Linked DNA regions of Caenorhabditis elegans. The protein of the gene in region 1 interacts with the protein of each later gene in a biochemical or structural test. Each region holds a gene or a part of one and is shown on either strand. Other genes may lie near its edges.

Region 1 (7,945 bases):
AATTTCAGCTTCTAGAAAAAAACCTTTTCGAACTTTACAGAAAATTTCAAAAAAAATCCAAAATTATTTTCAAAAACTCTATTTTAAAAATCTATTACACAACATGGGTACGCGGTAATTGCCGGAATTGCCGAAAATTCACAAAACTGGCCATTGCCGAAATTGCCGGAATTTTTGAAAACCGACAATTGCCGATATTTCCGGAAATTCTCAAAACCGGCAATTTAAAAAATGCCGGAAGTTTTGAAAACCGGCAATTGCCGAAATTGCCGAAAATTCTCGAAACCGGCAATTGCCGATATTGCCAGAAATCTTAAAAACCGGCAATTGCCGTAATTGCCGAAAATTCACAAAACCGGCAATTGCCAATTGCCGGAAATTCACAAAACCGGCAATCGCCGAAATTGCCGGAAATTTTTTCTTCCGATTTTTGTCTTTTTTTTTAACCCTAGAGTCCCCGATATCAACGAAAAAAACGCTAAATTTCTGCAAAAAGGATAAAATCGAAAGTAATAAAAATTAAATTACGACAGTTGCAACAAAATTAGCAAAACTTTAAATTTTAAGAGGTTTAGTCTTTTTTTTCCTAAATTTTGAGCCGCAAAAAATTTTCTTCGAATTTTAGCAGATGTTTCATTATAAAATTCCGTGTTTCAAGGCTATTTCTAAATTTATTCAGCAATCATAGGTATTATTCTTACCGTAACGTCCTGTGTTACAGTGATATATGTGTCCTGTCGGAACTTTTCAGCGCTAATATTAAAGTCGTATAACACGAATTCCTTCGAAGCCATCACAATATCTTCTCGTTGAGTTAATCTAATATCACGCATCTCTCGAAGATTAAAACTTCGAACAGTACTCAAATCGACTTGACAATGAGCTGAAGGATCTGGTCGAGCATCGAAATGAACTCTATCTGAATAGAAGAGATGTCCAAGAATACGGAATTTTGTTGGAACAATCTTTTGAACGTGATCTCGGAATCCAACGAATTCTTCTATTCGGAAGAATGTCTCTTGATCCAATGTACCGTCGTAGCGACAGAAGTTAGCTGCAAATAAGTAAAAGTTAATTCGGAGTTTTAATAAATTTTTTTCGAACATTTTTCGATTAAAATTTTCGTTTTGAGTATTAATCTTTTTTTTCCGAAAATTTCTTTTTTTTTTTAATTATTATCGCTTTTTTCTGAAAATGTTTTTTTTTTCCAGAAAATTGATCGATTTTTTAAAGAAATTTTCTGAAAAAAAATTTTTTCCCGGAAATTAATCGATATTTTTAAAAAATTTCTGAGAATCAATCAATTTTTTTTCTTCTAAAATTGTTTCTTTCTATCCAGAAAATGAGTCGGTTTTTTCTGAAATTTTTTTTTTTCCAAAAAATTTATCGATTGCTTCTAGATATTTTTCAAATTTTTTTTTCGAAATTTATCATTTTTTAATGAAAATGTACCTCTTTTTCCTAGAAAAGTGTTCAATTTCTCTGAAATTCGTCGATTTCACCGAAAATTTATTTTAGAACTTTCAAAGTGCATAGATTTTTCAAAAAGATTTATCGATTTTTGTTTTCGAAAATCTAACAAATTTTTAGAAACGTTTTTTTTCGAATTTTTTCAAATTTCCGAAAATGAATTGACTTTTCCATAATTTAGGAGCGTTTAATTATCAAATAATAATTTCTAAAAATTTCTGACATACTAATAAGATGCCTTATAGGCGTTTGGCTTTCCACAGTATTAAGCACACACTGAGCTGGAATACTCGATGAAATATCACGAGTAAATGGAAGTTCAATCGGATCAATTTCTCCCATCATTGCCTTGAAATAACTATCATCACGGATTTTCTGAAGTTGATCCAGTGAAGCGGTCTCGTAGCGAAGACTGTCCTCGTGCTTTTGAAGATTTTCGTCGTACTGAAAACAAATTTTATAAAGTTCTAAAATTGAAATCTTTTCGCTTTTTTTTAATCCTAGAGAAATTTCAAAATCGAACAACGAAAAATTTTCGATTTTTGAAAAAAGGAATCGGAATTTTCGGTTTTTCGATTTTCTGAACATTTTTTTATTAGATTTTTCGGAAAATCAACAATTTTTAGTTTTTTTTCGATTTATAATTTTATTTTCAGAAAAATTACGTTTTTCTGCACGGTTTTTATGTTGCTAAAGTCGAATAATCGAAACATTCTTGTTTTTCCGATATTTCGAAAACAATTTGTATTTTTCGGAAAACATATTAAAATTTGGGTATTTTTCTAATTTTTTTAAAGAATAAATATCTGTTTTCTTATGTTTTTTTTTTTAATCAAAATAAATAAAATTTGATAAATATTAAATTTTAATATAAATTTTCTGCATTTTTCTTTGCTTTTTTTTTTTTGGTTTTCCGGAAAATCGAAAATTTTCGTACTTCGATTCTTTCTTTTCCGAAGTTTTCTGATTTTCTCTGAAATCCTATAGATTTCAATTTTGAAAAATTTCGTAAAACTTCCAAAACTGTTCGACATTTCAAATCGGATTTTCTCGAACTCTATCAATTTTTCTTGCATTTAAAAGTGCAAAATCGAGTAAATCGACAAAAACAACGTACAAAATCATTGTACACATCCAATCGATTATTCAAGAGTTTCCATGATCCTTCATATTCTTTATCACACTTCACCAAACATGGTTCCTTGAATGGAATAATTCCAAGATCCCATGCTCTTGATTTTGACGAGTCAATGATATTGTCTCCGTGACCAGTTAGATCAGATCTTAAAATTGAAAGTTTAGAATATTTCAAAATTAATTTAAGTTTTTTAAAGAGTAAATCTCACGTGAAATGGACAGAAAATCCGTGTGCTACTCCATCTTTCGCCGGTCGAATTTTGAAAGAATTCGAGTTGGCAAGTGAATCCTTCAAATTGGCAATACTGCTAAAATCGACCGAATGCATGGCTACTGAACCAGAAAGAAGTTCAAATTGAGAGTAATCTGCAGCTGATGCACACCAGTACGGTTGTTCGGCATCTGATTCGCCAATTTTCACGTATTCGGATCGATAACGAACTCCTCCGTAGTCTTGACAATGAATATCGAAGATTTCACGACAACTGAAGAGACGGACGTAGACGGTAGCCTGGAAATGAATAAAGTTATATTAAATTAGGGAATCAGAATGCTTTCAAGAGGATTATAGAACAAATTGTATTTCTCTGAGAGCTAAACCTTTTTCAATTTTGATATTATGGGAATTTCGCTTCTAAAAATAAAATAAAAATATTCTAAAATTCCGAATAACAATAATTTCTCTGATTTCGTCCAAAACGAGAACTCCCCGATCCATCATCGATTCCAGGGGTGTGCGGCAAATCTCAAAATTTGCCGAGCTCGGCAAATTCGGCAAATTTGCCGTGCTTAACAAACTCGGAAAAATTATATATTTTTTGATATTTTTTGGAGCACCAAAACTACTGAATTCTTAACACACCTCTGGTTTCTGAACAAGTTAGGTGTAGTGTGTCTGCTTAAACATCAAAATAACTCAATTTGTTGTCATTTTACTAAATTTTTGGCGAAAAAATCAACAGTTTTAGTCAAAATTGTACTGTCAAATTTTTGACGTGTGCGGCAAATTTCGAAATTTGCCAAGCTCGGCAAATTCGGCAAATCTACTTTTTTGAAATTTGCCGAGCTCGGCAAACGGCAAATTCGGCAAATTTGCCGCACACCCCTGATCGATTCGTTTTAAAGGTTGAGCACCGAAATCTTATAAATATTTTTTTAAAGGACTTCAAATTTTCCCCAGATTCCGAATTCTATGTGAAAAAATTCAAAAAAATTCCCTGATTTTAGCGTGAAATCAAGATTTTCAAATGCCGATTTTTCGCACCAGAGACGTCATGTGTCGATTTACGAGATTTGTGTATATTTACGAGATTTCCAATCTTTATCGGATGCTTATTTTGTTTTTCAACGAGTTTCCTTCATTTTCGTCGGTTTTTGCAAAAGTTTTTTAAAGGAAAATGTGTTTTTAGGTTAATTAAACATTATATCATCAAAAAACGAAAAATTTGTCAGGTTTTTGATGATATAATGGTTAATTGACTTCAAGAACACACATTTTCAAAAAAAAAATTGGCAAAAACCGACGAAAATGAAGGAAACTCGTTGAAAAACTGAAATCATCATCCGATAAATATTGAAAATCTCGTAAATATACACATGGCGTCTCTGGCGCGAAAATTTGGATATCTCATGAGGACGCAAATGAAAATTCGCGATTTTAAGCTGAAATATAAAACTATTTTTGAATTTTTTTCACTTAGATATTCAGAATGAGGGGAAAATTTGAAGTCATTCGAAAATATTTCCCAGATTTCGGTACTTCTTATTTAAAAAAATTAAATTAACTGAAATTTCATACTGAATTCGGAATTTTCAATCTGTTAGCTTTCAGAAAACATATTATTCATCGTAGAATTCTCTTGAAAATACGGAATTCCAAATTGTTACCTGATGCGGAATAAAGATAGTTCTGTCATGTGAAAAACGAACATGAGCGTCCAAGAAAGTCTCTACAATTTTTTCTCCGAATACACAGCAATCGAGAGTTTCGGAAACGACTATATCGGCTTTTTCACAAGTTTCAAAGTATGTCGAGTTCTTTGCGTGAACATTAACACGACTTTCAACACCGTTTCTCTTTAAAACCTCCTTAGAAATCATTGTCAGGCACATATTTTCTTCGAGAGCGGTCACCAAGTTGGTTTTTCTGGAAAAAAGAATATTTATAATTTAATTTTAATTTTTTTTTTTGAAAGTCTTACCTCGCAGCAATAGCCGATAAAATACCAGTACCGGATCCAATATCGAAGACAACTGTGATTCTGCTCTTGATAGTGTCGTTTAGAGCTTTGGCAAACGCTTCGTTTCGTTTCTGAAATTATTTTGCAGTTTAAAAGACTAATTTAAAATTTTTAAAGCTCAATTTAGCTAAAATCCTAAAATTCAGCTAATTTTTACGTTTAACAGCGGATTTAAATTCGATTTTATTAAATTATCACTTTTTATTGCATATTTTGGTTGTTTCTTACGCGTTTTTATGCTGATTTAGGGATACTAAACGACGAAAAAACTCGGTGAAGAGTGAAAATCCAATAAAAACTGATTTTCGGCGGCTTCAAACTGGCAAAATTGAAAATTTCAGCTAAACTCAGCACTTTTTCTTTGAAATTTTGAATTTGAGGGACTTTTCTGATCCGTTATTCCTCAATCAAACGTAGTTTCTGAATAATTTTAACTTTTTTTTGCATTAAATGAGGGGTATCGAATTCTTTAAAAATGTCCGAATTTCATTACTAGAACTAAATTTAGCATAAAGTCTTCAAATTCTCCATTTTTTACGTGTCTGAGCTGACTTTAATTCGTTTTTATTGCTTTTTCCGCATGTTTTAGTAGTTTATTACCAGTTTTAATAAAATTCTAGGTGTATTTTCAGTGTTTGGGAAACTATCGACTGAAAGTGTACCAAAATAAATAAAAATTAACTACAAATTAGCAAAATTTGAGATTTTAGCTGAATTTATCACTTTTTCTTCAAAAATTTCGAATTTGAGCTCTATTTTCTTAAAAATTCGCTGTTGCGATTCCGTTTGGATACATTTTTTTCCAGGAATAAATTCAATGCTAGCGGTTTTTAATTACCACATCATTGATCATTCGAATATGCCACTGTGGGAATGGAATTGTGGTTAAATTGACACGTGCAATCCTCAAAGCCACCAAATCCTCTGGTTTCGTCGCCAAATCCATCGAATCTTTGCAAATCGGCAGGCAATTCAGAAGCCATTTACTCTGCTCGGTTCCTTGTACAGCACGAATCAGAGCGATTTTCGTTCGAATCGTTTCCGGGAATAATTCCTTGATTTGTGGATAAAGGCAGACAGCCCGGGAAGCATTGTTGTGGTCCAGCGCAATCCAGCCTGCAAAAAAATTAGTTTTTTTAACAGAAAATTACACGTTTTTCCTTATAATACCATGAAGAGCTGCAGCAAACTGATCTTCATAGACTCCACGTCGTTCTACTGGTAGCATTCGTATGCAGACGAAGAAATGTTTGAGTGCCTCCTCGAAGTTTCCATCGAGAAATGCCCGTTCGGCCTTTTCCATTGAGAAGCACGGTGTTTCCTGTGCTGGTTCGGCCATCTGACAATTTATTTTTTCATTTTTATTGATAAATAGGTTAGAAATCATTAAAATAAATGAATAAAACGAGCAAAATGGGCTGGGAGCGTTCGAAAAATATATTTAAATAAATCATGGCCTAGCTCGGGTGCCTCCGTGTTTTCTCGTCCTCAAACACTTTTTTCGAGTCCCTCGTCTCGAAATTGCAAATTTTCGGCGGGCTTTTCAATTTTTCTCACCTCCCCGAACACTTTTTCAACCCAAAAACTGACATAATGTGTCGGCACAACTTCAAATGAACTTGACGCCTTCCGCAACCCGGTTTCTTATCGATTTATGTACTTTTTTGTTCAAAGTGTATATCGGTGTCCAGTTTTGGGATAAAGTGAGAGAGAAACGGAAACATTTGTGTTTGAAGCCGTTTTGATTAGTAGATCGTAAGTTTTTTAATGAATTTTTTATGGGCTACGGCAGAAACGCGGCATTTCAAAGCTCAAAAGGTTTTTTCTCGTTTTTTTTCCGATTGTTTAAGATATTTAATACGAATTATTACTCTAAATATGTGAATTAAAGCTAGAAAATCGAAAGAAACGGAGAGAAATTAAAACAAAAAATAGGAAAATTTTAAAATTCCGCAATTTGCCGTGAAAGTGTATGCAGAATCCGCAAACAACATCACGTCAAATTGCGGGAAAAGTGAAGTACAGTAGTCATTTCTTGCGTGTATTTATTTTATTTTCGAAAATTTTCTGAAATTAGTCTTAATTTTTTGTATTTTTTCACAATTTTTTCTCCCAGCAGCATAGAAAAATGTGACAAATATTTGTTTGAGCATCTCTGAGTAACAAAACGTTCAAAGTTCTTTATCACTTTGATCGATTCCGACTTTTTAGTGATTTACGACCAAGATCTCTAGAACAGAAATAATAACTTCACCTCTAAATGCCTATTATCCCATCTTATCCTTTCAGTTTTCATTTTCCAATTCCGTTCGTTCCGTTTTCTGTCAATCAGCCAAAAAGTTGTCGTTTTCCCAGCGGGAGACGTCTTCATTTCGGTCTTTTTCCGTTTTCTTTTCACCATTTCTGTCAACTGTCACCGGGGAAAAGTGTATTTTATCGTTGGCAATCACAATGATTTATTTAATCGGCGGTTTTTCTTAGATTTTTTAGATTTTAAAATTATCACCCAATTTTCAGGAATTCAAAATCGGTCATTTCTGAAACTTTTCGAAAAAACGGTTTTTTGATTTACTGTTTGAACTATAAAATTTACTAAAAAATTCTGATTTCGATGGAAAAAATCTTTTTTTGACGTTTTTCAAAAAACGATCAAAATTTTCAATAATATCCGGATATTTCTAAATTGTTCCAAAAAATTGTTTTTATTAGTTTTAAAGTTTAAAATGTGGAACATTTATTCGAATATTTTTTAAAACCCGACACCATTGCTCGTACCACAAAAACCTTCAATTATTCGATGGTTAGTCACACAATTTTTTTTTGAAAACTTTATCCGGAGCAAGTTTATTGAGCTCCGAACACGGGTAAACTCCTCAATTAGGCAATGGGTCACTTGTCACAATAAATGTCCATTGAAAACTGACAACATCTGGTGCTCAGTCCCCTCTCTCTCTCTCTGTCTTTCCTTTGAGAAACCACCTGCCAGATGTATATATTCGAATCATTTGACAATCTGCGTCTCTTCAATTCCACGAGCATTGTCTAGCTTCTTATTGCAAATATATATATGCATGCGCGCAAATGATTATTTTTTTTCG
Region 2 (3,167 bases), on another chromosome or scaffold:
CAATATAACTATTTTCCCGTTTCATTCGTATTCTTATAATACAAATAGGGAACGAGATGAAAAGATATGATCTCTTACCTCATATTAAATGCAGTTGTTTTTCCAGACATTTTTTCCATTAACCAACCGAATGTTTCAAATTGTGCAGAAATCCTACTTCCCATTCGTATTTTTTGCTGGCACCGTGATGTTTTCTTACCATTTGTAAGCCATAATTTGCATTTAATTTTAAGTTTTTTACGGTGTAAAAACTTAATCAGATATGTATGTACCTTACGCACAAAGTAAGAAAGTCTTTCAAAAAATCACCTAGCTTTTGTTGCAGAATATTATCTTTTAAATTTCCTAAAAGCTTTTGAAAAATTCAACCAGTTTCCTTTTTTTTGAAACTTTAAAGAATTTTCAGAAGAGCCTCAAAAATTTTCAAAACTGCAGTTTTTGAAATTGTCAAAACTTTCCAGATTTCTAATCGTTTCCGGGTTTCTAGAAAAAATTTCTCCAACTTTCCCATTGATTTCCAAGTGACTAATAGGCTTCAAATACTCCTGAAATTTCTGGGTTTGTTCAAACTTTTTCGAGTTTTCCAGAACATTCTCAATGGTTCTAAACATTTGTAGAGTTGACCAGAAGAAATTTCTAAAGATCTTTTAAAGATCCTAGCTAACTTTAGCAAATTCTTGAATGTTTCCAAACTTTCAAAAATGCTCCATTAATATAGGATTCTCTATTTTCAGAAATTTTCAGAAATTTCTCAGTGTTTTCAGAAGTTTGTATTACATTTTGAAGAGTTAAGGAAATTTTCAGAAATCAAAGAACTCGAAAGAACAAATCTGTCCCATTTTTGATAGCTCGATCGAACCCAAAAATTTGAACGGGTTTTTAAATACACATAGGATCACTTGAAATATCCAGAATCGCGATTGTGAATTTCCAGTGATGTACGAAGTAGGTTTCCGGAATTTTAAAAGTACAATGCTGCAAAGTTTAGAATGTATTTATATTTTTAAATATTCTTATTCTAACAACTGCACTTCTTTACGTCCCCATAGTTATAAAAATCTGGAAGCTTGATCATCGCACAAGTAGACAAGGTTTTAGGCAAACAGTTACAGTATTCGCGTTCAAGATTGCATGTTATATGTCAAACCCACTTTATATGAAACATTTACATTCAGATTATCATTCCAATTTTGTTAGTCAATTTTCTCTGGAGTAAAAACACACACAAGGGTGCAATTTTACGACTCTTTGAAAAACTAGGTGTTTTTATGAAACAAATTAATATTAAAATTATCTCCATAAAATAAAAATAAACAAACATTATTAAAAACAAAAAAATATTAAAAATTAAATTAAAAATTAATTTTAAAAACTATCCTCATATTCGTAAAAACTTTATTTCAGTTTAAAAACAGAAGAAAAATTGGATTTTTAAAAATGTGGCCCTAAAGAGGGCCGTTGGGTTCGGTTAGATTGCTTTCAGCAATTGAATGCTTACTTGCTGGAGGTGTACTTGGTGACAGCCTTGGTTCCCTCAGAGACGGCGTGCTTGGCAAGCTCTCCTGGCAGAATCAAACGGACGGCAGTTTGAATTTCGCGAGAAGAGATGGTGGATCTCTTGTTGTAGTGAGCAAGACGAGATGCCTCAGCAGCGATACGCTCGAAGACGTCGTTGACGAAAGAGTTCATGATAGACATAGCCTTGGAAGAGACTCCAGTGTCTGGATGAACCTGCTTGAGTACACGGTAGATGTACACAGAGTAGGATTCTTTACGGGCATGACGTCTCTTCTTTCCGTCCTTTGGCTTGGTGACGGTCTTGGCGGCTTTCTTTGCTCCTTTAGCAGACGGCTTTGGTGGGGCCATTTCGATTGATTGGACTGGTCGTTGGACAAGTGTAAAGAATGGGTTGATGGCCATTTCCTTTATAATAATTCATCGGTGGGAAGGAGGAGCCTATGGACATACTGCGGGGACACATTTCTATGTAGTCTCCCCAGCCGAATACGCAGAGTGCACAGTTTTTCTCGGTCACTCTGCCACCTCCTCCACCTGCCTTGTGTCTATGTGCCCGCCTAGTCACCGCAGTTGTGTTTAAAAGAGTGTGGTCTAATGGTCTCCTTCAGATCGTTTTTACATCTACCAACCAATCATCACCATGTCTGGACGCGGAAAGGGAGGCAAAGCCAAGACCGGAGGAAAGGCCAAGTCCCGCTCATCAAGAGCCGGACTCCAATTCCCAGTTGGTCGTCTTCACCGTATTCTCCGTAAAGGAAACTACGCTCAACGTGTTGGAGCCGGAGCCCCAGTTTACCTGGCTGCCGTTCTTGAGTACCTCGCTGCTGAGGTTCTCGAGTTGGCTGGAAACGCTGCCCGTGATAACAAGAAGACCAGAATTGCCCCAAGACATCTCCAACTGGCCGTCCGTAACGATGAGGAGTTGAACAAACTGTTGGCTGGAGTAACCATCGCCCAAGGAGGAGTTCTTCCAAATATCCAAGCTGTTCTTTTGCCGAAGAAAACCGGAGGAGACAAGGAATAGATGCCTTCTTAAAACATTTTACCGAACCCAACGGCCCTCTTTAGGGCCACAAATATTTAAAATCCTCTATTGAACATGAATAAAAATTATTTTTATCAATGGTTTTTGCACGTACTTTATTATAAATTGAAAATCGTTTGCAAAGAAGAAACTTCTTTTTGGATTTGGTTGATTCACAAAACGATTCGTAATTATTTTCTTCTGTCTTACAAATGTTAATTAAAATTGGACGAGGTCATTCCAAATTCAAATAAATTGGCGCCAAATTCAAAGTTGTCATTGAATGTGACCTTGTTGAACAATATGATTTTAGAGAGGTTTTCCTGGTTGAGTATTTGAATACACGTGGTTGCAAATTCCTTAGAAACAAAGATATAGTGACGTCACAATACCTACAATTGTTTGGACCTGGATCTGACTCAGATAGGCAATTGATGACGTCATTAATGACACTTTCTGTGAGGACAGTAAAACATTTTGATATTATAAAAATATACTAAATTGTATGGCTCTAAAGTTTCCTGGTTTTGTTCTTTTTTTTTAATAAGTTAAAAAATAATGAATAATTTATTCAAATTGGATTGAAAATGATTGGATCATATGTATGTGGCCCTAAAGAGGGCCG

What was found.
Region 2: of the proteins of prmt-9 (region 1) and his-3, one has a biochemical effect on the other in vitro, tested with the Caenorhabditis elegans proteins (one study listed by BioGRID).

The regions. Positions count from the first base shown.
Region 1 is NC_003282.8:12,678,193-12,686,137, forward strand, and holds the start of prmt-9 (PRotein arginine MethylTransferase), read right to left. Parts: upstream 6,187-7,945; coding exon 6,018-6,186; intron 5,964-6,017; coding exon 5,686-5,963; intron 4,919-5,685; coding exon 4,809-4,918; intron 4,754-4,808; coding exon 4,495-4,753; intron 3,119-4,494; coding exon 2,817-3,118; intron 2,754-2,816; coding exon 2,588-2,753; intron 1,915-2,587; coding exon 1,698-1,914; intron 1,055-1,697; coding exon 702-1,054; intron 1-701.
Region 2 is NC_003283.11:16,038,650-16,041,816, forward strand, and holds his-3 (Histone H2A), read left to right. Parts: upstream 1-2,158; coding exon 2,159-2,542; downstream 2,543-3,167. Other genes in the region: his-4 (Histone H2B 2), read right to left, coding at 1,495-1,866. UniProt on the Caenorhabditis elegans protein: Core component of nucleosome. Nucleosomes wrap and compact DNA into chromatin, limiting DNA accessibility to the cellular machineries which require DNA as a template.